3 linked regions of the Coturnix japonica genome follow. The protein of the gene in region 2 purifies or fractionates together with the protein of the main gene of each other region. This does not show direct contact. Links are inferred from orthologs where the notes say so. Each region holds a gene or a part of one and is shown on either strand. Other genes may lie near its edges. The genes, in order: TIPIN, TIMELESS and CLSPN.

The links.
Region 1: the proteins of TIMELESS (region 2) and TIPIN purify together in Homo sapiens (affinity purification with western blotting; 6 studies listed by BioGRID and IntAct, counting the BioPlex papers as one, with this or other methods). This does not show direct contact. The link is inferred for Coturnix japonica from reciprocal best matches to the Homo sapiens genes TIMELESS and TIPIN.
Region 3: the proteins of TIMELESS (region 2) and CLSPN purify together in Homo sapiens (affinity purification with western blotting; 4 studies listed by BioGRID). This does not show direct contact. The link is inferred for Coturnix japonica from reciprocal best matches to the Homo sapiens genes TIMELESS and CLSPN.

The regions. Positions count from the first base shown.
Region 1 is NC_029525.1:16,730,686-16,740,513, forward strand, and holds the end of TIPIN (TIMELESS-interacting protein), read right to left. Parts: intron 9,707-9,828; exon of another isoform or gene 9,554-9,706; intron 9,124-9,553; exon of another isoform or gene 9,070-9,123; intron 8,886-9,069; 5' UTR 8,858-8,885; coding exon 8,725-8,857; intron 8,151-8,724; coding exon 8,057-8,150; intron 7,478-8,056; coding exon 7,402-7,477; intron 6,736-7,401; coding exon 6,613-6,735; intron 6,212-6,612; coding exon 6,148-6,211; intron 5,747-6,147; exon of another isoform or gene 5,611-5,746; intron 5,377-5,610; coding exon 5,188-5,376; intron 4,844-5,187; coding exon 4,686-4,843; 3' UTR 4,199-4,685; downstream 1-4,198. Other genes in the region: DIS3L (DIS3-like exonuclease 1), read left to right, coding at 223-315, 1,178-1,711, 1,804-1,958, 2,064-2,239, 2,473-2,618, 2,884-3,058, 3,134-3,454.
Region 2 is NC_029544.1:1,734,747-1,745,182, reverse strand, and holds the start of TIMELESS (protein timeless homolog), read right to left. Parts: upstream 5,689-10,436; coding exon 5,616-5,688; intron 4,650-5,615; coding exon 4,496-4,649; intron 4,417-4,495; coding exon 4,302-4,416; intron 4,205-4,301; coding exon 4,142-4,204; intron 3,493-4,141; coding exon 3,391-3,492; intron 3,296-3,390; coding exon 3,140-3,295; intron 3,064-3,139; coding exon 2,930-3,063; intron 2,852-2,929; coding exon 2,764-2,851; intron 2,665-2,763; coding exon 2,488-2,664; intron 2,406-2,487; coding exon 2,188-2,405; intron 2,115-2,187; coding exon 2,011-2,114; intron 1,836-2,010; coding exon 1,666-1,835; intron 1,598-1,665; coding exon 1,478-1,597; intron 1,402-1,477; coding exon 1,250-1,401; intron 1,183-1,249; coding exon 1,085-1,182; intron 1,012-1,084; coding exon 882-1,011; intron 805-881; coding exon 609-804; intron 508-608; coding exon 356-507; intron 243-355; coding exon 157-242; intron 72-156; coding exon 1-71. Other genes in the region: lens fiber major intrinsic protein-like, read right to left, coding at 6,473-6,862, 6,937-7,101, 7,213-7,572. UniProt on the Homo sapiens protein: Plays an important role in the control of DNA replication, maintenance of replication fork stability, maintenance of genome stability throughout normal DNA replication, DNA repair and in the regulation of the circadian clock.
Region 3 is NC_029538.1:3,749,117-3,756,781, forward strand, and holds the start of CLSPN (claspin), read left to right. Parts: upstream 1-1,380; 5' UTR 1,381-1,472; coding exon 1,473-1,490; intron 1,491-2,445; coding exon 2,446-2,566; intron 2,567-3,371; coding exon 3,372-3,823; intron 3,824-4,195; coding exon 4,196-4,363; intron 4,364-4,703; coding exon 4,704-4,793; intron 4,794-5,014; coding exon 5,015-5,087; intron 5,088-5,296; coding exon 5,297-5,405; intron 5,406-5,588; coding exon 5,589-6,130; intron 6,131-6,640; coding exon 6,641-6,832; intron 6,833-7,058; coding exon 7,059-7,240; intron 7,241-7,644; coding exon 7,645-7,665. Other genes in the region: protein argonaute-4, read right to left, coding at 325-343.

The sequences.
Region 1 (9,828 bases), on a different chromosome or scaffold from region 2:
GGAAGTCGGAGATACAGAGCAAAGCAAACTTAGACTTGTACTGGAGTAATATTTAATTTGACTTCAGTACCGTACCTGCCTGTTGTGTACAAATAACCTTAAGAATAACAAACCACACTACGTGCCCTGTTTGCTGATACTGTAGTTGCACTGCAAACTGCCTGGGAGATAAATACCAGTGAGTCAGTGTGGGAAGAACAGTAAATGTGTTTTATTCTTCAGGGCCACAACTTACTATTTAGCAGATCGCCGTTACGACATGCTGCCCTCTGTGCTGAGTGCTGACGTGTGCTCTCTTCTCAGTGGAGTTGATAGGTAAGATTTTCTAATATATCTGAGGAAAGAAATTTTTGGAAGTAATTTAGTTATTACTACCAGTATTTGTTCAATAACTATATGCATGTTTTGCATTACTAAATCTTCGACTGAAAGAATAACGTATGCTTAAAAATGGCTTCCAGTGTTACATTACTTAGATGAGGTGAGCGCTTTGTAATCCTGTAGCTTGCCAAAATGCAATTTGTTTGATTGTGACAATGCAGCTGATTTTTGATGAAATTAACTACTGACAGAATAAATCTGATGCAAAACCAGGGTTTCCTACCTGTTAGCACTGTTGAGATCTTCAGACAGCAGCAGTTATGGGGAATGCTGATTCATGTTGATGACTTTCTCAGTTAACAGTAAATGTTAAGTATCCAGCTGTCATTCCTCGTTCAGTTTTATTGGGCTTAACTCAGTAGTGCTGCTAAGAACAAAGGGAATGTTTTATTCTTCTGCATCTGTGCCCCCACTCTTTGATTATCAGTGCAGCTTTTGGGCTGGCCCTACCAGTTCTGTCACCATATAAGAAACCGACTTCTCTAAAAAAAAAGGTTATTAATTTTGTTCCATAGTTAGACTATGCCTGTTTTGTGGATGCACAGAAATAAAAATGTTTCATCACGTGGCACAGAGTAACTGTGTGTGCATGGGCTCTGAATTGTTACTATTTGTAACCTAAGTAGCAGGGGGTCATAAACAGCTGAAATAAACTATTGCAGTGTAATGGTGCTTCAAAACAGATGTGGAAAGAAAATCAGCACAGAATGAAATCTGTAAGTTTGCAACAGTTGGATGTGCTCGAAATGTTGAGTCAACCAGAACTGCTTAAAGAATTGTGGGTTTTATTTTTAAGGTACGCTGTCAGCGTCTTGTGGGAACTAGAAAGAGAATCGTACAAGATACTGAAAGTCTGCTACAACAAAAGCATCATTCGGTCTGCATACAAGCTAGTCTACGAAGTAGCACAGGGGTTATTAGATGGGGACACAAGTGTTGTTGATGAGATCCTGGAACTGAAAGACTTGGATGGAAAAACAAGAGAGAAGAAATTGTCTGAGCTGGTTTGGGCGATATCAAAACTCACCGATATAGCACGACACATTCGAGCTGAGCGGGACAGCTGCGGTGCTCTGGAACTAGAAGGGGTAGAAGTCCGAGTGCAACTGGATGATAAAAAAAACATTCATGATCTCATCCCCAAGCAGCCCCTGGAAGTACACGAGACTGTAGCAGAATGTATGATCCTTGCAAACCACTGGGTGGCAAAAAAGATTTCAGAAAGCTTTCCTCATCAAGCTTTGTTACGTCAACACCCTCCACCACGGCAGGAATTTTTTACTGACCTTCAAGAATGTGCCAGCGCCAAAGGTTTCTCAATAGACACACGGTATCTTTTACTGCTTCTCTTAAGCACTTTAACACACTTTAACTGTGATCAGGGTAACATAAATCTGAATAAAATTAACACTTTTTTGACAGGTCTAACAAAGCATTGGCTGAGTCCCTGGATAAAGCGGAAGATCCATTGGATCCAATTGTAAATAAGCTGTTGCGATCTATGGCCACTCAAGCAATGTCAAATGCATTGTACTTCTCAACTGGCTCTTGTTCTGAGGAAGAGTTTCATCATTATGGTATCCTGACACTTTCATTTGTTATAAAATTCCCCTTATTCCTGAACTGCTGTGGGGCAGCTGAATGCTCTGATTGCTTTTCATCGCTTCCTTTTTTATTTGTAGGACTCGCTTTAGATAAGTACACTCATTTTACTTCTCCTATCAGAAGATACGCTGATATAGTTGTCCACAGACTCTTGATGGCAGCAACTCTGAAGGAAACTAAGGATGTTAAGGAGAAATTATTCAGTAACAAGGATCTTGAGGAATTGTGCAAACACATTAACAACAGGAACAGGGTAAGGTGGTCACTGTGTGCGTCTGTGTTTGCATGTTACCCAGGGAAAGAGGATACCGCTCTGCTGTGACTTTTGGGTACTACAGCATTGCAACACTCCTTCTAGATACAATTTGTTTTCAGCAGGTTAGGGAATAAGTAATGGAAAAAATATATATAATATCAAAGCCATACAGGCTTCTGAGAATATTTACCTGTCCTTCTGTCTTCTCTTTTTGTGGGGGGTGCCTGCAGGCAGCCCAGCATGCTCAGAAACAGTCTACTGAACTCTTCCAATGCATGTACTTCAAAGATAAAAGCCCAGAAACAGATGAGCGCTGCGTAGCAGATGGAGTTATCTACTCGATCCGAACAAATGGTGTGCTTGTTTTCGTGCCAAGGTAAGTTGATTTGAGCTTGGACTGAGACTAAAAATCAGACATTTGCTTCTGAAATGCTGCGAGGTCACCTCTGGTCCTTGAGAAATGAAGCACTGACTGATGACTGCATTTTAGATTTTCTGTAAGTCATGAACATTGTTTTTTCCATGTTTTAATTCTGAAAAGGAGACGCTATGGAGAAAGGATTGCTCAAATTAGCAAGGTAACCGAGAAGGTTTCTGAAGGATTTCTATGCTCATGCCTACACACCTGCTTTTTTTTGTAGATATGGAATCAAAGGTGCTGCTTACATGAAAAACAAGGAAGGCTTAGTCCTGTCTTGTCAAGGTGAGGGAAGCTGTGAGTGGAAGCCTGGATCACTTCAGCGGTTTCAGAATAGAATTACTTCCACTACAACCACTGGAGAGTCGGTTACATTAAGCCTCTTTGATCACATCACAGTGAGTACTTAATTTGAAGAAAGTAAAAGGAAATAGCATAGTCAGCAATAAAATGATTTTTAAATTGCTTTTAAGGTGAAGATACTCGTGCAGACTTCCCGCTGCCACGCTGACACAATCAAGCTTGAAATAATCAAGAACGCCCCATTCCAGACTTCAGCCACAGAAATTTCCAAGAAGAATTTTGGCGTGGTGAAATCTGACTTAGTCAGAGCAGTCAGTCAGTCTGCGGAAGCGCTGAGCGCCCAGGAAAAAGCAAGAAGTGCAGTAATTGAAGAACAGTGTCCGGAGTATCAGGAGTACTGCCAGACAAAGGGAGCAAGTTTGTACCAGCTGCTGGAGGAGATCAGGGACTGGGCTCTATTAGATGTCTCAGCTGATGCATGTAGTTGTTGATGCTCTGCTTACAGTTACTTTGTACAATTTGTATATTTTTAAAAATGAAGTCATTTTAATGAGATAAATTGTCTGTTTTAAATAAGATCTCTTTGTAGCTGATCATGAGCATGCGCAACAAAGATTTTTTATGTGATAAATGTTACCTTCCAGACTAAAACCCGTGTTGAGAATCCTTTTGTTTGTCGTTCAATGAAAAAAAGCCTGCTTACCCTTGTTCTCCATACATTACATTCTTAAACCTAAAGTATTGCTTTACCATCATCCTAATTAGTACAACTGGTGGTTCTTTTCCACTCTATTGAGTTTTAACTCATACCTACGTTCACACAAAATGAATTCAGTCACACTAACCCAGAACCTCCCTTATGCACAATTCCCCAGCTGCACAACTGGCATCATATACAACCCACTGACATGAACTTGTTTCACCTGCCTTATGTGCAACGTTGGGCCTCAGGTAGGGCTGAGCAAGTCTGCTCTATGCTGCTGGGTAAGGCATTCTCAGGGCTCTGGCACAGCTGTCATCCTTGAAACTACATTCATTCTACAGAGCAGAAGAGTGCACTGGACTGCTGCAGCTATCGCATAAGAGAGGAAGAAGACAGTACTGTGACAGTACAGAGCTTTAAGCCAGGAAACAGGATCAGATAAAGTGAGACTAATTCAGTCAAAGCCAAAACACAATGTGCGATGACTTGCACAAATTGGGAAGTTGAATTTAAACTGCCTCATGCAAGAATTTGTTTGACTTTTGAAATTTAATAACTTCCATTTCATAAGAAACGCACACAACTACTTGGTGAGTTAAAAAAATATCCAGGATTCCTGTTCAAGTATAACACCATTCTCTATCATGTATCCTGCATCAAAGATGTGCACGCAAACTTAACATCTCAGTCAAATTCAGTTTGACATCAACTGAAGGATGTCAGAGTAGGCCAGGAAAGCCATTTCCTAAACAATGTCAGTAAGAGAACAAAACAGTCTCATCTGCAGCTGAAGAACAGTGTTCTGCTTTCCAACATAGGGAGCGATTCATCTGCAGCTTCATGAAAACAGCTGTGACCAGCTCCCCAGACGTAACAGTTAAGGCTTTCCTGAAACCCCTGGAGTCAGACTGGAAAGAACCAGCAATGTTTCAATACAAGCGGTAGGAGTTGGCGTCCTATGAAGGACCCCCCTAGAGTTGGGGTCCTATTAAGAAAGTCCTTCAAAGCATGAGGAATGGTCACTGCTTTTCACTGGCACATTGCAATTCCTTTTCTGTGTCTTCAGTCTCTGTAACAGCAACACTGGCCGCAGTAACTTGAGTGTCTTCTAAAGCACCAATCATTTCCTGAGCAGCGGGGATGTTAAACTCCTCTTCAGGATAACTATGAGAGAGCCCTGATAAAGGAAAAACAAAATGCCTCCTGTGAGAAAATGCTGTTGCTGTGTGCCTGATGGCTGCAGTTTCCGTTGCCTGAATCACAACCTTCAGGAAAGCCAACACTAGAATCAACTAGCAAGTCAGCCTCACTTCACCAGAGACAAGCTATCACAGTTCAGCTTGTCAGCTGGGGAGAGTGGATCTCTGAGCTTTACAGGGATCTACCTACGGGACTGTAGTTTAAGATCAGGAGTTACAGTTCTCTACTCTCTAGTAAAGCAAGTACCAAGGACCTTTTCCTCAGCAGCTCAGCTGTCAGAACCTCTCAGGCTGAGCTTACACTGACACTAGAACTGCTTACCATCATGCTGGGACTGGCTGTTTAACTGCATCTTCGCTTTCCGACGTTCCAAGGCCAGCTGCCTGTTCCTCTCGATTCGCTGCTGCTGCTCTTCAGTGAGAGTTGTAACCGGGAGAGAATCGAGTTCTCCAGAGAAGGAATGTACGTCTTCGGTGGGCGCATCCAGCCCATTGCTTCCACCTCCACCACCTGGGTAAAAAGGAATGGAGGGAGAGAGCCAGAAGGAGCAGGAAGCATCACACTGAACACAGACCTTCCACTAAATATATATCAGAAAAGCATTTTAAGTAACTCCTGATTATATTCCACATTTTAAAGTTGTATTTTGAGTAGGACAGCCACGCACACTTTCCAGCTGGTGACTTACCAGCCGTACGGTTGCCAGTGCGGTTCAAGAACACACCAGCACTGTGCTGCAATACAGATGTACGGAACCATCGCACAGAACATCTGATACCTCTACAGATACTGTCGGCAGGAACCATTAACCTCACTATCTGTGGCTGCTCACGGCTGCATTCCATTTCTAGCAAATGCAGCCAACAGCAAAGACAGCCACATGTCATCAACCGCCCAAAGGCAATGCCCACAGGCAGGGCAAGGCTTTACCATCACACAGCTTGTTCATCAGAACTGAACTATAAAAAAGTGCAGATAATTGCTTCAAGAGAGACCCACAGGGAGAGAGAATATAAATATTTGCAATGGACGTTAGGAAAGACTACAAAGTTCTTATTCCTACTAAAAGTTCCTTTCAAGCCACACACTTTTAATACGTACAGGAAGCATTTTATTCTGAGTCTGGTTTTACAGCTCTAAGTCCTACATAAGCCTGGTTGTAAAGGAGGACCACTCAACAATAGCTTCTACAGCAGGAAAATGTACCACAATCATGAACTCCTCGTTAGTAAGAGGGGCAGTACAGTTTTAAGTACTGAACTGAGAGTGCAACAAACTTACCTTCATGAGCTGCGAAGTCTTCATGTAAAATAGGAAGATCGAGTCTAATTCGTTTTAGGCAGGTCTGCAAATGAGGAAAAATTAAACTAGGGATGTTTCATCTATGAAAAAATCTTGTCTTACATTGATATGTTTTTAACAGTATTCCCAGTTTTTCTTTATGCTGTACTATTCTGAAATAATATTTCTTTCATGCATCTGTTCGACCCAAAACTTAAATACCACAATCATTTTTCTAGTTCTTATTCTATCATCAGCCACATGAAGCAACATTCTTTATAAGCCTCTGAGTCCAAGTTCAAGCATAAGTAGTTCCTGCACTCTAACGCTGATTGCTTCTGTAGAGATGCCCTATTAAAGGAGATCCATATAACTTAAATCTTCTGCTGTGTGCCTGTTCTCCTAAGCCAACTCCTTATACTGCTCATTACTGCATGAAAGCAAACCGACAGGAGTAATACATACCTGAACCTCCTTTTTGTTTCCCAAAGACTCTACTTTGTCAATAAAATCATCAAACTGCAACTTTGGAAATAATCTATGAGCCCAATGCTCCATGTGTCGTAGAAGCATCTTCAGATCCTCTGCCTTGAGCATAAAACAAGAAATCCAGCTGTTAGAAGCAGATTAAATCAGCAAACTGCAGAGGGAAACATGATAGCAATGTTTCTGGAAACACAAAGTGCCCACAGTTGGAAAATCTCTTGAAAATCAAAATAATATGAATGCTTGGGTAACCTTCCATCCTGCTATCAAGTTTGTAAGTGCAATTAAAGCTGGAAGAAAACAAGCAATAAGAGCTCGGGAAAAGCATTTGCGTGCACTGTGAAACACTTGGTAGGTTTCTGAGATGCCTTTAAGCAATGCAGGTGCAATTCCCAACTAAAATTTCACAGGGCACAGCTGGTATTTATTTTGATGTATGTTTTTGTGTGTTCTGCATTCCAGATTACCTAGGAAATCCTGTAAAGCGATTCCAATTCCCAAAACCTCTTTTTGTGGGTAAAACAGGGACAGTAACCGGCATGGTTTAAGATTAAAATGTCCATTTCACAAAGCAGCCATGCAGAGTATTATTTTTCAATCTTGCAACTACAAACCACAGCAGGATGTGCCCAAATACTGTCAGAAAGCTGCTGTTTAACCAGAGTTCGGTATCAATCCTCCCCACACCAGACAGGCAGCAATCTGTTGATTTCAGCTAATCTGCCAGGAAACACCCCAGAAGTTCACCACGTCTTCACCACGTCTTACCTCGTGCCCTTTACCCTTGAACTTCACACTGTCAAACATGTGTCTTAAGGCAGGAAGTCCTCTTTCTGAAACTAACCTGTAAACATGCAATGGTAAAATTACCTGAAATCCAGCTTCCTCCTAATGAAAAAGAAACAAGCACACATTCTCCCTTATCACCCGAAGCTACAGAACTCTATTCAGGACAGATGGAGAAAACACAGGAAATAAGACTGCTGTAAGACTTGAGAGTTTCTGAAAATACACAATACATACATCCCCAGTCCAAACAGCTTTTTTATTAGGATTACACGGAAAGAAAATGGAACAGTCATTTCTGGTACCTACACTGGCCATGTAAAACTTGATACACAACCCAAGCCTTCAACAGTATGTTTAAAACAAAATGTACCTGAAGCTTAGGTACTTTCTAATGCTCGTGAGGAACTTACACCAGTTTTGGCAGTAAGAGCAAGGAAAGTACTTGCATCCTTTACAGGCAGTTTATCTACTTCAGATGCAAGTCAGGTGTCAGCATTAATTACATAACACACCTCGCAGACATCACTGTACTGAGGATTCACTCAAGTGCACTTGAAATCACAGTAACCTTAATTACCACATCACAGCCATGCACCAAGTTTATCAAGGAAAGAAACACTAAGTCCAAAAATACCTGTGAGCATCTAGTTTAGGTATCGATCTTTTAACTGCTTTCCGTGCAGCTGCAGAAGAATCCTTTGTTTCTGACTGCTGGTTTCCATCCAGATCTAACCAAGAAAATCACACACTGTAAGCATACAGCACAAATGGCTCACTCACTTTTTGATTCAGGCTAATACTCATACATTTGACTGCAATGGATACGGCACCACAATCCATCCCAGCAGTAATTACTATCACACTGATTTCTTGTTTAAGACTTTGCCAGTCTAAACATCAGACACCCAGGAGTTAGAACTCTAATTTTCGTACATCAAGAATTACGTACTTCCTGCTCCCTTGTTCCACACACAGAACATTCCATATACAATTGATAGAAAGTAACTTGAACTTTATTTTTTGCTTTCTGTCTTTGTCTTAAGATAGAAAACCAACAACCAAACTCCTACCATCTCCCTGGAATGCTGGCAGTCTTGTGTGCATGCATGCAAACATTCCCATGGCATCTACAAAGGTAAACTCACTGCACAAGTATGGATCAAGAACAACTTAACTGCTTTTTTTACTCTTGGATTATTTTTACTGAGTAAGCACAACACATTGAAGTAGAACTCCAACAAAGCTGATCTCTCAGCATTTCATTCTATACTGAAAAATCTCCAGGGTTCACAGGGTTCTCACCTCCATTAGCTTGAGCCCATTCAACATCAGCTCTTCCTGGAGACGCAGGAGGTGGGAGGGGTGGAAATGTTTCATCTTCTGTATTCTCATAATCAGGGAGATCAAACAAGTTGTTCTCCAGAGGATCTATCATGGCCACAGATTAACTTTTCTTCCTCCTCCTGTGGGAAACAAAGAGCAGATGAGAGAACTGGGATGGGGAACTCCAAAATTCCACAGTGGAGATGTGGTCAGGGGACACAGTGGGGGTGAGTTGGGATTTGGGGGGTCTTGGAAGTCTTTTCCAACCTTAACGAGCCTATGAAATATCAGAAGCATTTAAAAAGAATGCAAAAACCAACAAACCTGCCACAGAAACAAACATCAGCTACGTGAGACCCAGCCCTTCCACAGGAAGCTCTGCCAAACAGCACGTTACATAAATTAAGCAGCAGATACTATGCAGAAGGATGACACAACCCAGTATTGCCGAGCCAAGTAAATTATGGGCTTCTCACACTTGGTTACCTGGGAGTGGTGGCTGTGGGTCGTTGTAAGAACACAAGCACACAACAAAAGCATTTCAGACTAAGTGCTTTTCAAGCCAGCTGTTATCCACACAAACTAACAACTTTAGTCTCCTGAGCTGCGGGTCCCCCAACCTACAGCTTATCCCTTCAACCCACAGGCCAGGGCCGAGGTCTCTCAGGCTCATGACGGCCCCAGCTCCTCACATCCCCGCTCACCAGGCTGAGGGCTGTTGTATCTCTCCACAGCCGGGCTCACACACAGCTCGCCCCGACAGGAGCCCGCCACGACGCCCAGAGCCGCACCCTGAGGCCCCGCTCCCCTCACACCTCCAGCCCTGACGGTTTTCCCCTTCCTACCGCCTTAAGGAGCTTCTCTCCTGCTTTCAGAGCGCTGGGAGCTCCGGACGAAGACACCAAATACCGCTCAAATACCACACAAATACCACACAGCACAACACCGCACAGCACCGCACAGACACCGCCGAGCTGAGGAGGCTCCCCCGGCCGGCCGGGCTAATGCGCATGCGCAGCTGCTGCGCTCCGCCGCTGTTGGCGCCAAGTCCGTTGGGCGGAGCTGCGTGTAGCGCCGGTAACA
Region 2 (10,436 bases):
CAACTGCTGCACAACCTGCCGCCGTGTGCGGCCCGGCAGCTCGGCCATGATGGAGGCAATGATGTCCTGACCTGTGGGAGAGGGGGCTGTAAATAGGGGGGGGGGGCTGCAAGGGGGCTCCCCACCATCCCTTGGCCCCCCACAATGTCCTCATACCTTCTGCCTCCTTGTATTTCCAGAACAGCTCCCGCAGCGTCTGCTCTTCCTCTGGGCTCCAGGCGGGGGTCCGGCGTGCTCCAGCCCTGGGTAAAGGGGTGATGAGGAGGGGTCAGAGCTCCTTTCCCAGCCCTACAGCCCCCTCCCCATCCCCACTACCCCTCTGTCAGCCCTACAGCCCTCCCATGGCCCCACTCACCCCTCCCCATCCCTTAAGGAGCCGTAACCTTCGCTCATCTCCCTCACAGCCGTAGCGTTCTTCCAGAAGAGCAGCTCCACAAACGCCTTCTTGTTGGTGGCTGCCAGCGCAAAGAACTTACCCAGGATAAACTTGGCCAAGTCTACCAGCTCCTGGAGAGGGATGGGGGGCACAGAGGGGTGAGGGCAGCAGGATTAAACCAGGGCTGGAATCGGGGTGGGGGGGACAGAGAGGGGTTGAGGCTGTGACTCACCTGGTGGGCACAGGGGTCGTTGAGGAGGCGGTTGAAGAGGGTGAAGAGGGAGAGTTGGAAGAGCAGAGGCTCCATGCGCAGCTGCCGGGCCAGGCGGTGCAGCAGCCGTGCAGTGCAGTGGTTGGTGCGGGCACTGTTCTGTGCGTAGCCCCGCAGCAGCAAAGTGCAGGCACGGACCACGGGCACGCAGGCAAACCTGGACCCCCCCCCCCCAAATAATTAGTGAGCAGCTCTGTGCAGCCCCCCATCATTACTCTCAGAGGTTCTCCTCACCTCTTTAGGTAGTCCATGAAGTTGAACTCCTTCTCGGATACCCGCACTGCTTCCTCCTCCTCCTCTTCCTCTTCTTCCTCCTCTTCCTCTGGTTGCTCTGCATCCTCAGCCTCAAGGGGGGCTGTGGGTCCTGTAGGGGGCAGGGTTAAGGGTCCCAGAGCACCCCCAGACCTCAATACCAAGGGATGGGGCCGTGCACTCACGGGGCAGAGCAGCAAAGCAGATCTCCCGCAGCAGCTCCATCTCCTCGGGGGGCTCCACACCGGGGGGGCCAAAAACATCCCCTTCAGGCCACACTTCCCTGGATGGAGAGCAGAGGTTGGCACTGCATCCCCATATACTGAGGGGCTGGGGGGGTTGGGGGGTACCTGGCAGAGCGCAGCAGTCGCAGGGCATGGGGGGCCCTTCCCTCCCGCAGGGACTCCTGGATGCGCAGCAGAGCTGCAGCGCGCTGCTCCTCTATGGGGGTCTCTGAGGCAGCATCGAAGGGCACCACATCCTCAGGGAGAGGCACCGTGCCCTGATGGGGTGAGGGGGGGGTCACATCATCACCCTGCACCCTATAGACCCCCCATGACAGCAGGGTCTGTCCCTACCTGCATGCAGCCCTGCAGCTGCTGGGACACCGCTGCCCATTGCTCCTCCAGCTCGGCTGCACCCGGCGGCTGCGGCGCTGCAGGGGGACGGGGCTTCTTCCTCCTCCTCACACGTTTACTCTGCACAATGATGGGGGTCAGGAGGGTCCACAAGGACCCACACACAGCCCTTAGTGACCCCAACCCACCTGCACCACGAGGCCGGAGCGGCCGCGACAGAAACGCTCCAGCATCTGTAGGAAGAGATGAGCCGTCTCCACCAGGTCCCGTAGGAAAGCACGAGGCTGTTTTGTCTCATCGAACTTTCGGAATAGAGCCAGGAGCAGCTCCCGGTATTCCATCAGATAGAAGATGTGGTCTGGTTATAGGGGGGGATAGGGAAAGGAGAGGGTCAGTGTGGATGGATGGGACAGGCTGAGAGATGGATGCACAAAGATGTGGATAGACAGACACAAAGAGAGGGGGCCATGCAGACAGATGGAGGGATGGATGGACAGACAGCCACATATGGATGGCCAGAGGGATGGACTCACTCTTAATGACCTGACTGCTGTCTCTCACTGCTGGCTCTGGGGAACGATCCATCTCCTGCACCGTGCGCAGCAGCTCCTGGTAGGCCTTAAGGGCCAAGTGCATCCTGCAGGGGATTGAGGGGTGGTCAGGTAGTGATGCAGGGGGTCTCAGGGCTATGGAGGGGCTGTGACCCCCACCTGCGTGCCCAGGTGGTCGCCTCTTTCTTATCCATCAGTGCCATCTCGTAGTAGTTGGTGAGGTGCTGCTCGATGAAGTGGAAGGCTCGTACACCCACCGTCTCCGACACCAGCTCAGCACGGAACCCCCGGCCACGATTGAAGGCCATGAAGAAGGCAGTGGCCCACAGGTAATACGTCTCATCGTGCTGCTGGGCTTTCTCCCGCAGTAATTGATCCTTGGGGGGGGGGGTTCAACACAGGGTGAACCAGACTGGGAGGGGTGACTTAAAGTGTGGGGAGCCACCCCCACATCCTCACCTTGACCAGCAGCATCAGGCGGTTGTAGCAGTTCTCCAGGAAGTCCTGGCAGAAGCAGCTCAGGAAGAGCCGGACGTTACGGGCTGAACGTCGGGGGGGTCCCGGCTCAGGGGGGGCCCAGCGACGCCGCGGCACCCGACGTGTCTCCTTGCCCATGTCGTGGCTGTAGCTCTGCAGCTGTGGGGTGAGAGGGGGGAATGTGAGCTGTGCCCACCACGCTGAGCCCCCTCCACATCACACCGAGCCCCCCCTGCTGCTCCCCATCCCAGCTCTCACGTTGTGCAGCCCCTTATGGAAGATGACGTCGTGCTCCCCGATGGCCTTCAGCCCCTGGATGACGTAGGAACCACGGAAACGAGAGTGTCTGGAGGGGAGAATGCACATGATGAGCCATGTTGGCTTTACGACAGGGCCCTGACCCCCCCTCCAGCCCCCTCCCCACCTGGCTGGGCGCTGCAGCATCCGTGCTCTGTGCTCTGCCAGCTCCCGCTGCCTCAGACTCTGCAGCTCCTGTGTGTCCTCCCCACACTCTGCACCCACCCGTCCCTGTCCCAGCGCTGCCAGCTGCTCCGGGCTCTGTAGGGTGGGATTAGGGGGTGTCAACAGAGCTGGATGGGGGGCTGGGGGTGGTCTCCGTGCCCACCACGCTCACCTGGTCACGGAACATGAGGGAGATGATCTCAAGGACGTGCAGAGCCCATTGCTGCTCAGTCGGCGCGCTGGCCAGGAACTTGAGCAGGTCATCCATGCCACTGATATGCAGAGCCCACAGCACGCGGTCGTGCACGCTGGCATCGCCATCCACACCCTGAGGGGCAGCACAGAGGGGGGTGGGCAGCACGTAGGGCACCTTACAGTGGGGATCCCTGTGTCTGTACCCCCCCCCCCCCTCCTTCCCAATACCTGCTCCTCAGCGGGGTCGGGGGGCACGTGCAGCACGTTGCGCACCAGCAGCAGGATCCGCTCGATCAGCAGCGTGTCCTCCTCCTGCCGCTGCTCCCAGTCCTGCAATGTATGGCTGTCAGCAACCCCATAGCCCACCCCAGACCCCCCCCCAGACCCCCAGCTCCACCCCCAGACCCCCAGCTCCCTATCTTCCCCCCCAGACCCTCAGTCCCATTGTCTCCCCCTCCCCCCACCGACTCTCAGCCCCACTGCCAACCCCCAGGCCCTCAACCCCACAGCCACCTCCCCGGGACCCCGTCCCATAGATCCCCCCCCAGCCCCATAGATCCCCCCCAGCCCCATAGCTCAGCCCCAGACCCTCAGCCCCATTGTCCCTCCACCCTGACTCTCAACCCCACAGCCACCCCCCTGGGCCCCCAGCCCCAGAGCTCCCCCCCTAGCCCCATAGCTCAGCCCCAGACCCTCAGCCCCATTGTCCCCCCTACCCCAACTCTCAGCCCTACTGCCACCCCCACCCTGCCCTCAACCCCACAGCCCTGGGTCCCCAGCCCCATAGCTCCCCCCTAGCCCCATAGCTCAGCCCCAGACCCTCAGCCCCATTGTCCCCCCACCCCAGCTCTCAGCCCCACTGCCACCCCCCCAGGCCCTCAACCCCATAGCCACCCCCTCAGGCTCCCAGCCCCATAGCTCCTCCCTAGCCCCATAGCTCAGCCCCAGACCCTCAGCCCCATATCCCTCCAGCACCCACCAGCTGCAGCACTTCATAGAGCTTCTCGCTCAGCACCCCAAACACCTTCTCACTGGCGAACGCCTGCAGAAAACCCCTTATGAGCACCATGTGTGCGTGTTCGGGGGGGGGGGGGGGGAATTTGAAGACCCCCCCTATGGCTGTATCCTCACATCCTCACCTCTTTATACGCCTGCAGGTAGGACAGCACCTGCAGGAAGTGATGCCGGGCGGTGGCGTCTGACGGCACTTTACCGAAGCAAAGCAGCGCTGGCTGTGTCAGGTTCACCATCAGCCTATAGGGGTGTGGGTGGGATTCAGGACCCCAGCCCATGCTGCCCCCGCACCATCCCCCCCATCCCTACACCCCGGTACCTGATGACGGTATCGAACAGGGTCCGATCCTGCGGGTATTGAACGAGCAGAGGCAGCAGATCGTTCTGTAGGATCTGAGCCGCTCCCAGCTGCTGCCGCACGTCCCGACTCTCATCCTCGTGCCGCAGGTACCGGATCAAATCCTTCACGCTCTCTACGGGAGGGGTCGGTCAGAACACGCCCCCCCCCCCCCCCCCCCCCCCCCCCCCCCCCCCCCCCCCCCCCCCCCCCGACGCCTTCAAGCGGCAACGCCCGCACCCACCGGGTCACCCCCCCCCCTTCCTCCACGCACCGCCCACTATAAACAATACCCACGCACCGTAACGCGCTTCTCCCCCCTCACCCTCCCTTGCGGTGAACACTCGCCCACCCCCGTTATCCCCGCACCGCGCTGCTCCCCTCAATGGCCCCACCTCGACGTTGCCCTTTTAAGAAAGGCTCACGCTGCGCTGTAGCCCCGCCCCGTGGGCGGGACATCGCCTGGGGCGCGGGAAGTCACCGCACCGCGCTCTGCCCCCCACCCCCATTAGCCCCCATATCCCCCCATACCCCCATTTAACCCCCCATATTCCCCCTCCCCATATCCTCCATAACCCCCCATTACCCCCACCCCCATACCCCATTAATCTCCATATCCCCATACCCCCCATTTACCCCCCCATATACCCCCCATTTACTCCCATTTACCCCCCATATCCCTCCCCCCCCATTACCCCTCCACATCCCCTCACCCCATTACCCCCCCATTTACCCCCCATATCTCTCACCCCCATATGCCCCCCATATCCCCCATATACCCCCCCATATACCCCCATATCCCCCATACCCCCATTACCCCCCCATACCCCCATTACCCCCCCATATCCACAACCCACACAACATAACACCCCCATTACCCCCCATTACCCCATTACCCCCATACCCCCATTACCCCCATTACCCCCCATATCCCCCCCCCCCCCCACGAGAGCCGTTACAAAATTAAGCGTAGGTTTAATTTTCACCGAACACAGAAGCTCGGTCACGGCGGGGGGGGCCGGGGTTGTTGCGGGGGGGGGTGAGGCCGTTCGACCTCTCCGCCAACTCCCCCCACGCACACCGACGCCGCACACACACGCACCGCAACGCCCCGACACCAGCAAAGGCGGCCCCGGGTTGGGGGGGGGCGGCCCTATAACCCCTATAGCCCCCATAGCCCCTATAGACCCTATAGCCCCTATAGACCCTATAGCCCCTATAGCCCCTATAGCCCCTATAGACCCTATAGACCCTGAGTCTTCAGCCTCCAGCGTTCAGCCGGTAGCAGATTCGGCGGGGGGGCGCGGTGACGGGGGGGCTCCCCCCGCAGCACGGCAGGCGTTCAGCCATGCTGACGGCCCGAGGACACAGCGCCAGCTCGTACAAAAACAGAAGCCAGCCAAACCCGGCACCGAGCAACGGACCGCCCAGAAACAAACCTTACGGGAATTGGGGAGCGGGGCGGCGTGGGGGGGGGAGGCGAGGGGACCCCCCACCCACCCGAGATAAGGGGAAAAAATGTGGGGAGGAAAGGGATCACTGAGTGGGGTGATAAGGGATGCCCCCCCCCCCCCCCCCCCAAGGTGGGGATGACTGGGGGCTGCTGCAGGCTGTTGGGTTGTGGGTGGGATGGGGGCATAGGGGGCAATGGGACAGAAGTGGGATGGATTGGGTTGGGATGAGATGGAGTGGGATGGGACCGGGATGCACTGGGATAGGGCTGCAGTGGTCTGATTGGGATGGACTGGGGCAGGAATGGGATGGACTGGGATGGACTGGGATGGACTGGGATGGACTGGGTGGGATTGCGGTGGGTTGAGGCTGATTGGGATGGACTGGGGCAGGAATGGGATAGACTGGGTTATACTGGGATAGAACTGGGATGGGACTGGGATGCACTGGGACAGGACTGCAGTGGACTGATTGGGATGGACTGGGTCAGGAGTAGGATAAACTGGGTTATACTGGGATAGCACTGGGATGCACTGGGTGGGACTGCAGTGGATTGAGGCTGATTGGGATGGACTGGGGCAGGAATGGGATGGACTGGGATGTACTGGGATAGAACTGGGATGGGACTGGGATGGACTGGGATAGGGCTGCAGTGGACTGATTGGGATGGACTGGGGTAGGAATAGGATGGACTGGGTTATACTGGGATGGACTGGGTGGGATTGCAGTGGGTTGAGGCTGATTGGGATGGACTGGGACAGGTCGGATGATGGGTTGGAATGGACTGAGCTGGACCGCAGGGTCCCCCCCACTTACCCAGTGGTTGGTGAAGTTGCGGGTGATGACAGCGGGGGCAAAGGAGCGTGCAGGGTTCATACCAGCACCAGTGTATGGGATCTGCGGGCAAGGAGGGGGTGGTGGGTGAATGCTGCCCCCCACCCCTACCCCATGGGGCTGCCACCCCCCCTTACCCCAAAGAGGTGTCCGAGGGCGAGGGAGAAGCCGACGGGCAGCGCAGCGGAGCCGGGGCGTCCATCATGGCGCTCATCGAAGCTGGCGAAGACGCAGAGGATGAACTGAGCCGTCAGCAGCAGCTCCACCACCGTGCCCTGACCTGGACCCACACTGGGGTGCAGCTGTGGGGGGAGATGGGCTCAGTGCTCTTCCCAATTCCCCATTAACCCCCTTCAGCCACCCCCAGCCCCACAATACCCCAAACACCCCCATTCTCCCCCCATCCCTCTCACCGCACTGAGGCCCAACGTGCCGCGCACGGCAGCCGGTGTCACCCCATAGAGGACTCCAGCCCCCGCCAGGGCACCCAGGAGCTGAGCCATCATGTAACCCAAAGCACGGGGCAGGGAGAGCTGCGATGCCAGCAGGAAAGCCAGCGTGATGGCCGGGTTGATGTGGCCACCGCTGACGTGCCCCAGCGCCTGCACCAGGGTGGCTTGGGCCAGCCCGAAGGCCAAGGCGGACCCCAAGACCCCATGGGATCCCGGGGTCCAACGCAGCGAAGCCCCCAACCCCAGCAGGGTGTAGAGGAGGCTGCCCAGGAACTCAGCCAGGATGGCCCTCCAAAAGGAGGACGAGCGCAGCTCCCGCATGGCCCGGCCCCGCTGCGGCCCCGCTCCCCTCCCGGGGGCTGCCCGCACCCACCTTTATAAGCCCCCCCCCCCCCACCCAGCCCTGGGGGTGGGACCCCACTGCTGCCACCCCCCCTTAACTGCTTCGCTGCCCGGGATATGGGGTGGGAGATGTGCTGTGTGAGACCCCAGTGCCCCCCTTAGGGGCAGTCCTACAGCCCTAAGAGTGTGGGACCCCCACCCAGAGCTGTGCCCCCCACCCCTGGGGATGCCAGTTAGGGGGTAGCTCTGACCACCTTCTATAGGGCCTAGGGTCAACAACATACTTGGGGCTGTGGACAACACTGTGACAACCCCCCCAGACCCCAGCCAAGTTTTGGGGTGATACAATGGGACGGCAGCACTGGGATCCAGCCCACCCCAACCCCACACATCCTAAGGGCTGCAGGTGCCCCACACCCAGCCCCACATCACAGGGGTGCAGGTGCCCCCCCCGGGGGCTGCCACTGACCCCCCCCCCCATGCCTGGCGCTGGTGCATTCAGGCTGGCTTAGCAGGCACTAAGCCCCCGGCCGGGGGGGGATTAGGGCTGAGCACAGCCATTGGTGCCCATAGGAATCTGCCGGGGCTGCAGAGGCTCCGACAAAAGGCTTTGCTGCACTCAGCACCCACAAAGGACAGGAGCAGCCCCCTGGCCCCCACTATGGGGCCAACGGGGGGGGTACAACATGGGGGGAGCGCAAGGAGAGGCCCCACAGTGACCCCGTGCACCAGGACCCCCCCCCTCATCCCACAGCACCACTTTGCTCTCATCTCTGGCTCAAAGTCACCTTTAATCCCCATGGGGAAGAGGATGGTTTGGAGTGGGGGGGGGGAGGAGGCAAGGAGCCCCCCCAAGCTCACCCATCAGGCCAAGCCTTGGCCATGGGAGGATGGGGGGGTACAGGCAGCACTGAGGGGGGCGGTGGGAGGTGAGGAAGGGGATGGGGTGGTGGTCTCCACTAGTGCCACATCCCGGCAGGTGAGGCAGGCAAACAGCTTCTCCCGGGAGGCACCAGGGGCGAAGATGAACTCATAGCAGAACCCAGCCAGAACAGCACCCAGCACCGGTCCAACCCAATACACCTGGAGGGGGGGGTCAGTGGGACCAGTAGGAGGGGGGATACCCAGGGTGACATGGGGGTCGGGGGCTGCCAGGGGTCCACACTAGGGATGGGGACTGAGCAGAAGGAGCTGCTCCAGGGGTGAGGAGGGAACCACGTTTGGGATGGAGCTGGAGGGCCAAAGGATGGGGTTGGGGGGACCTGTTTTGTGATGGGGGGATGAGGAGGACCCTGTATGGGGGTGAAGCTGAGGGTAATTCAGGGGGAGCAAATGATAGGCCGGAAGGGGGGGGGCAGGGGGATTGGCTGTCCTGGGGGAGGATGGGATGGGATGGGATGGGATGGGAAGGGATGGGATGGGATGGGAAGGTCATCCATCCCCACAGTGGGGTCCCTGGGGATACCCAGAGTGCTGTGACTCACCCAGTGGTCGTCCCAGATGCCGGTGACGATGGCAGGTCCCAGTGAACGGGCTGGGTTCATGCTGCCCCCCGAGAATGGCCCCTGGGGGAGCAGGTCAGGAGTAGCCAGGCCAAGGGGCTGCAAACAAGGGGCACTGGGGGGTCCTTACCGCAGCCAGGGCACCAGCAATGACGGCACTGCCCAGTGCCAGCCTGTTGGGAGCAGCCTCACGGCTGGTGGTAGCGAAGGTGGTGAACGCCAGCTGGAAAGTGGCAAAGATCTCCCAGCACAACGCCTGCCCCGCCGTCCCTGCTGCACTCACCTGCGGGCATAGAATAAACCTCAGCACCCACCAGCACCACGATGGGCACAGGGACAGGGACACTCACCCTGGTGACCATCGTGGTGTCATCCAGCAGCGCCAGGCGAGCAGCAGCGGCAGCCAACACAGCCCCGGTACATTGTGCCAGCAGCACGGCAACCCCACGCAGGGCACCCAGTTTGTGGGTGCAGAGCAGAGCCACAGTGAGGGCTGGGTTGGCCTGGGGGGCCCTGAGGGCACAGCTCAATGTCCCAGCCACCAGCCCCCCCGCCAGGGCTGGAATCAGGGGGCTGGGGGCAGCTGAGGCTCCCAGGACCACCCCGGTAAAGATGAGAGTTGCCACAGCCTCAGCCAAGACCCCCTGCCAGAAGCGCCTGCTGTGCAGCTCCTGTGGGTACAAGGTGGGCAGGAGTCACGGTGGTGGGGTGCCATAGTTATGGGGTACCATGGTGGTGGGATGCTATGATGATGGGGTGCCATGGCAGTGGGGTACCATGGTGGTGAGATGCCATAGTGGTGAGATACCATGGTGATGGGGTGCCATGGGGGTGGGATACCATGGGGGTGGAGTGCCATGGGGGTGGGGTGCCATAGTTATGGGATGCCATGGTGGTGGGGTGCCATAGTTATGGGGTACCATGGTGGTGGGGTGCCATGGGGGTGGGATGCCATAATGGTGAGATACCATGGTAGTGGGATGCTATGGTGGTGGGGTGCCATAGTGATAGGATACCATGGTGGTGGGACCCTTCAGCAACTTGGCACTGAAATGATGGAGTGTCAGTGATTATGGGGTGCCATCGTAACTGGATGCCTCAGCAACCACAGTGACAGGGGGTGTCTTGGCTATGGGGCACCTTGGCAGTGGGGTCAACTGGAGCAGCCCAGGAATAGGGGTTCCTCACTAGGGGCACACAGGGAGCCCCCCAATAGGGCTAGAGGGCTGAGACCACAGGCTACAAGGGCCATGAGCCTCTTTCCCCTGGCAGGGATGGACCCCAGGGCCCCCCAGCCTAGGGCTTGGGGATGGGGGGGAAGGAGGGGGCTGGGGTCACACG
Region 3 (7,665 bases), on a different chromosome or scaffold from region 2:
GCATTCAACCACAGGCTGCTGACCAATATAACGCCCTCATCAGCCTCTCTGTGCTCACAGCCTCTCTGTGCTCACAGCCGCTGCCGCCCATCCCAAGCACAGCCCGAGTGCCCCATTGACAGCTCAGCCATCACCCGCCCCACAAACTTCCCCCGTAGTTCCCAGCCGGTTCCAGGCCGTGTCGTTCGGTTCTCATCGCTCCAGGCTCTCCCCGCGGCCCAGCGGCCTGTAGCGGCTCCCGAGCCCGCGGCCTCCGCTTCCTCCACCTCCTCCCCTCTCCCGTACAGCCCCCACCGGGGCCTCGCCCCTCCCGCTGTATCTCACCGGGTCCCAACGCTTCCATAGCGGCGGCGGCGGCGGCGGCCTCGCTGCGGTCCCCCCCGGCCCCACCGGCCGCCCCGGGCCCCGCCGCCGCCGCCGCCGCGTAACGCTTGATCTCGGGAATATTGACTTCGGGATGTGGGCCAGGCGAGGAAACGGGGGGGAGCAGCGGCGGTGGGGGGGGTGGCGGCGGCGGCGGGGGGGGAGCTGCCGGAGCTCCGCTAACCCCGAGCGGCGTTGCAAACAATCCCCCCGCTGCGCGCCGCCGAGCGCGCCCCCGCCGCCGCCGCCAGCACGCGCCGCCTCCCGCCGTGCGCGCCCCCTCCACGCTGCCCTGAGCCGCGGGAGCGCGCACGCACAACGCCCCCCTGCTGGCGGGCGGGAGCGCGCACGTCGTTACGCACACAGGTGAGCGCGCCCCGCCCCCTCCCAGCAATGAGGCGCTTCGGTCCGTTGGTTCTCGGCTCTTTTTAACCCCATTTTACACAATATAAAACACATTTTACACAATATAAAACATCGCCTCCATCCGGAGCCATTATTAGAGCCAAATTCAGGCCCTGTGGTAACTAAAGAGGCGCTGTGCGGCCTGGCAGCCCGCTGTTGTCACTCTGTCCGTTCTATGATGTGTTAGAGACATAAAAACAGCCACAATTACCCGGATCTGCACAGAAATAACAGCGGACACCTCACAAATGTCACCGGGAACCTCAGAAATTGCTGTTTTTTCTCCCTTTATCACGCTGCGAGATGCAGCCTGACTTTTAATTGCGACAAAACAACTAATAAACGTTATCAAACCGTTTTTATATTGTACAAAGTGCGGACCTGTCGTGTATATATATATATATATATATAAGGTGAATCGGATCTTACATTGTGTAGGTTCGGGTTGTGGTGTCACCGCGGCCCGACCCCGCACTGAGGAGACCCCGGTACCACACGGAGCTCCACCCCCACACGGAGAGCGCTGATTGGACGGTGCTGGAGAGGGCGGGGCGAAGAGATACAAACACCCAATCAGACACAAGGAAGGCGGGGCTTAAAGGGATGTGCTGAGCGATGATTGGTTGGTGCTAAAAAAGGGCGGGGCTAAAGCAGCGCGCGAAGACTCGAAGAGGTTCATTAGGCGGCACAGGCCGGGCCGGGTCATGGCGGCTCCCGTTGAGGTGAGTGTGACCGCACCGTGTGTTCATCTGCCTCCTACCGGGGATATTACAGCTCCTGTGACCGCAGGGCTGAGGGCGGACATGGCCATTGAGCGACATGGCGGAGCTTCCACAGCTCAACCGGGCGGCCCCGCAGCTCCGTCCTCCCGCCTTTGCTTCAGGACTGCATTTCCCAGAATGCTCAGGGAGGCGGCGCTCACTTCCGGCTCGCGGTGCATTGTGGGAGCTCGTGGCGGCCTTCCGGTGTGATGGCGCTTCACTTCCGGTTGTAGGCCGCGTTTGGTCGTAATGAACTCAAAGCGCTGATTGAGTTGTGTGTGTGTGCGGTCACGTGGGGCACAGGCACGTTTAGACACTAATAAACATTGATAGAGTGTGGAAATACGAGGACAGGCTGAGGGAGATGGGTTTGTTCAGCCTGGAGAAGAGAAGGTTGCGGGGAGACCTCATTGCAGCCTTTCAATACCTGAAGGGAACCTACTCTTCCCTTAAACTCTTCGGAAGGGCTGACAATAGCAGGACACGGGGAAATGGTTTGAAGTTAAAGGAGGGAAGATTTAGGTTGGATGTTAGGGGGAAGTTCTTCACTAGGAGAGTGGTTAGGCCCTGGAACAGGCTGCCCAGGGAGGTTGTGGATGCCCCGTCCTTGGAGGTGTTCAAGGCCAGGTTGGACGGGGCCATGGGCAACATGATCTATGGGGTCTCTATGGGGATCTATGGAGTCTCCTGGGCAACCTGATCTAGTAAATGTGTATGTTTGGTGGCCCTGCCAGGCAGGGGGGTTGGAACTACATGATCCTTGAGGTCCCTTCCAACCCAGGTCATTCTGTGATTCTGTGATTCTGTGAAATAAAGGCCAATGATGTCTATGTGATCCTATGAAGGAGCACAGCAAGGCCTCAGTTGGGCCCTATGAGTCGTTGGTTGCTAAGAACAGCTGCCCTTTGCTTTGTAGCTCCAAGCAGAAGAGCTGGATGTGGCTGCGCTGAAGGCCCAGGGCAGGGACACAGACAGCGGGCAGGGCAGCACTGAGCCCCCATCACCAGCCATCAACACCACGTCACTGCAGGATGGAGGTCTGTAATGGGGCTGATGGGCTTCACAGTGGGGATCTGCTGGGCTGTATGAGGCCAAAGTGCCGCTTTGGTTGCTTAGGATGTGACCAGAGAGCTGTAGATCTGACAAAAAGGGGTTTCGAGGTTGTCACGAGTTATTGAGATTTACCTATGACCGTGACAGGGGGGAGCCACCCCATAGGGCCCCCAGGGCCTGGAAAGGAGGGGGGAAAGGAAAATGGGATAAAAACAGCGGCAGTCTAAGGAGGAAAAACTTATTTTACTAAATATGATATCGGAATACAAGATAACACAATATAATATAATTGAGGCTAATAAATCGAACGAAACACAAGAGAGAGAGTCCCCAAAAACCGAGAGGCCGACTGTGAACTAGAGGCGACACGGCTGGAACGCTTCCCACTCTCTGAGAGTCCAAAAGAAAGAGAGAGCTACAGCCTGGGAACAAGATTATACAGCGTCCTGGTCCCGTGACTCATCCCTGACCTTGTTGTTCTCTGGGATCTGTAGTCTTCTTCTGTGGACTGCACATTCAATAGAAGTATCCATGCTTTACATGATGTTATGATGTGGAATACTGATAGCAAAATTACAAAACCATGACAGAGGTACAGAAAGGGAAGTTATTATTTCAAACTTTATTCATGTCAATATAACTGATGCCAACAGTTAAATAGATTGACATCTGTAACATTTAACAGATGCATAACTGTATACACTGTATTGATAACCGATTGCTTGCTAATTAACCAGTGTAATGTGCTTTTCCATAGCACGTATCACTTCTTTTAATATAATTTTCCAGATTCAGAAGAAGAGATTTTTGTAAGTAGAAAAGCAAAAGGCAAGAAGGTGCTTCAGGACAGTGAAAGCGAAGATGGGGAGGACAGTGACTCTTCTGTGCAGAAGGAATCTCAGAGTGGAGACAGAGAAAATGGAGAGGAAAAGGAGGATGTTATTGCCCAGAGAAACAAGAAATCCCGGATTCGGCAGGCTGTGCTGGACAGCGATGGCAGTGACAATGAGGATCATTTGCAAACTGATAATCTTGACACAAGCAAGAAGTCTGACTTGCCTGAGAATGAGCTGGAAGAGGAGAAACAGCTGAAGTCTGGGAAAAAATCCAGAAAGCATAAACATGGTTTTGAAGGTGAAGCAGCTGAAAAAGCTGTGGGGAAACCCAGAAGAAGAAAAGAGAGGGAGAGAAGAGCTGAGTCCATCAAACAGCTGATAAAAGGAAAGAAGCCGAGCTCAGAGGTATGTGCTTTTGGCAGAAAATCTCAGGTGCTTTCCACATTAAGTTAAATGTTTATCAGTATTTTTGTTTCGGTGCTTCTGCGTCCTTTGTGTCCTCATTACTGCAACAGACAGGGTATAATATCCACAAGGATTATTGAGTCCCATTAATTTTAGCTGTAGGGAACACTGCTCCATAAATTTAGCTTATCAGTTTTGCGGTGCTCTGAAGTAAACAAGTCCGGCTTATGGGCAAAGCAGATGCTAGACTAAGTTTGGCCATACCCACATTCTAAGTTCCCTCGAGATCTGTTGACAGTAATAAATGCACATAGAAGAACTGAAGAGGAAATCCTGAAACAAATAATTCAGCTATTTTCTTTCTGGACCCAGCAGGTGGATGGTGGTGAGAGGAATCCTTCAAACGACAGTGGGTGTCTTCTTGATGACAAAGAACTTTTTGATAATGGCTTAGAAGAGGAAGATGATTCCTTCGCAGGGGACGAAGAGTCAATAGAGTCAATACGAGCTGCAGTGAAAGAGAAAATAAAGAAGTACAAGGTATAGCAATAGAACATTGATGGATATTAGCAGAAAGCATTTTATTTGAGCATATGTGAAACCTATTGACAATTGTTCTGTTTATAACAGAGGGTAAAACAGTCCTCTGTTCTTGAAGATAGAGGAATGTGTATTGGAAAGTTATAAGGCTACAAAAGAAGCTTTGGAGATTTGCCATAGTGTTATACAGGATTTGTGCTCGTTGATGAGGATGTGTACAGATCCTGTTTTGCTGGTTTTGGTGACCAGTTATGATATTATATAATAATTTTGACTTGTTTGCCCTCACTATGCCTGTCTATGTACTGAAATAAATGAATCTCTCTTTTACACACTGTAGAACAAAGAACGGTTTTCTGAGGATGAAGGCTACAAACATGTGTTTGATGATGATAACGAGGAATCTGCATTAAAAGAACCGAAAAGGAAGGTGAAGTATTTTTATGTTGTTTGTTACAGTTACTCAAACCACTGGGAGTTTTTGGTGCCTTTTCAATGCTATCTTATGCTGTTGTTGATTTGCTGTTTGTCAGTTTCAGTTGGTTGTTTTGTGCTGACTTCTTGTTACTTGAAAGAGTAACAGCTATTCAGGGAATAGAGTCCCATAATTTTCCATTCTGACTTCAGAGACCTTTCTTTTCTTTTCTTAAGGAGCGGAAAGCAGCAAAGTTGAGTAAGGAAGCCATTAAACAGCTACACAGTGAGACCCAGCGACTCATTAGAGGTACGACTAAATTCTATTAGTATGTAGTGGGGTTTAAATTAGTAAGAAATTCAGGGGAGAAATGGAAAGGATTTGTCTGAAAGTGTGGATCTTTCTTTTACCTGGCATTAGTTACTTAGGGTTGAAGATTAAAAGACCGCTTTTAATCAAGGACCTTTTTAAAGGTATAAATGCCTTAGATGACTATTCAATTTTTCTTGCACTTTCAGAATCATCTGTGTCTCTCCCATACCATATGCCTGAGGCCAAAAGTGTTTGTGAATTCTACAAGCGTAGATCCCGACCAGTGTATGAAGGAAATGCCATGGCGTTACTGAAGTAAGGACTTAAACCTTCCTCATGTATTATCAGGAATATTGAGGATATCCCTCCTTTGCTCCAGTTTTTTATCCTTCACCTCTTCCTATACATCAATAAGAGAAAACTATTTTCTTCTCTCAGTTTGTTCTCAGCCTTTTCTCTCCTTTCCTGATAACCATAATTTCTTTCTGCCTTCATTAGGTCCACTAAATACCAGTTCACCCTGAATGAAGAAGCTGAAGGCACGAAGACCTCAAGCACAGGTTGCAAAGACGGGCCAACAGAAGGTGGTCAGTCAGCAGCTAATGAGCCAGAAGCAAATCTTGGTGGAGATGTTGATACTGCTGCCAAGGATCCTCGCCTTGGTGTAGGGCAGAACTTGACAGAAGACTGTGCTGAAAAGTCCAGGAAGAACAATGATGATTCTCGTAGTGCTGTGACTGTAACAACTGCCAGTGAAACAGAAGAACTGCAATCAGTCCTAAGCACTGATTGCAGTGAACAGAAAGAGAGTGAGGTTCCTCTACCATTTGAAGGCAATGCTCTGGAGCAAAGAGGTGAAACAGCATCAGGCCTGGAAAACAACCAACAAGTGAGGCCTGAATCAACAGCACAGCCTGAAAAAGTGAAGAAGTCCAAACTGGATAAACTCCGTGAGCTGGGAATTGATTTGACCATCAAGCCAAGAATCTGCTCTGGCAATGAATCTTTTATAAACCTCGATGAATCTGATATGAATAAAGGTATCACTTATTTTTGTCATACTGTCAGATCTTCTTAAGTAAGCAGAGTGAAACTAAATTTAAAAGGAAAACCTCTAAGAAGCGTTAGAGCAAAGTCAGGCATGTTTTCTTACCATTACAGATTCTAATGTGTTTCCTTTAACTAATGGTGGAATGGGAAATTCTGATTCCTTAGTACTCACATGCCTGAAGGAATGCTTACTCCAGCCTTTAGTCTTTAGTATATATATTAAGAGAAATGTAGAGATTCCTGGTGGCTGGAAGTGCAGAGTGGCATTGAGTTGAGGTCTTGTGGATAAATCATACTCAGTGGTAATGTCATGTAGTACTACTTACTGCAGAAATACTCTGTAACGATTTCTTATGTCAAATTGTTTTATAACTACCAGAATGTCCAGGGTTTACAGTTTTTAATTAACTTCTTTTGAAAAAATGTTAAGATCTGCTCTTGATACAAATTTAATAGTATCAAATTCATTTACTTTTCATGCAACCAATGTGGATTTAAAGAATTAGAAGCCTTGAAGGCGCGTTTCCTGAAGCACACCCTTCAAACATCGAAACCCAAAGCAGAACGGACCATAAACATGAACATTATTCGTAAGGAAACCACATCGGAAGGAAAGGAGGAACTAAAAGCAGACGTGGTGCCAGCGGTTTTAGCTGCAGAGAGCCTGGATGAAGCAGCCCTCACAAAGCCAGGTCAGTCTGGGAGTTGTGGTGGTTATTTCTTGTGCTATAACACATCTGCCCATGGCTCTCTCTCTCTTCCAGCTGACAGATCAATTCATAAAATCATTTAAAAAACGAGTTGTTTTAAAATTGCGTTGATGTACGTGTAGTTGCATTACATTGGATGCTTGAAAGCAACAAGGTTCAGGATTCAACGTAGTACATCTAACATAGGAATTAATTCATTTCTGTCCAGGTGAAAAGCTGCAAGTGCTGAAGGCAAAACTCCAGGAGGCCATGAAACTCCGCAGGAGTGAGGAGCGCCAAAAACGGCAAGCACTGTTCAAACTGGATAATGAGGAGCTGCTGGAGGAGGAGGAGGAGGAGGAGGAAGAGATGACAGATGAGTCTGAGGAAGAGGAGGAAGGTGATCATGAGGTCTGTGTGCAACATGTTCAGATAACCCACTCAGATTCTCAATTCTGATTCTCCTCAATGAAAGTAGACTACTAACATGTACAAAAGATTCTGATGCCACTCATATAAATGTCTTGTCTCATTCCTAGCAGGGGAAAATGTCTTTGGAATGAATTCATTCCTGATCCAGAGTGGAGTTTGCCAGTTTTTTGTTTTTAAAGAGGGTCAAAATAATGTGCCTATTTTGAGCTCTTCTGTGCCAGATGTCTTAGACTCCAATAGGGGTGAGGAATGGAAGAACTGAGTGTCACTCTGTCACTCAGTGTTCTCCTCCATGTGTTGGAACATCTCAAAAAGCTTGCAAGGAGGGTTGCAGCTTGAACAATAACCACAGTCTATCTGCTGTATTTGGGGATGCTGTCTAGGCTGTGGAATTTCTGCTCGAC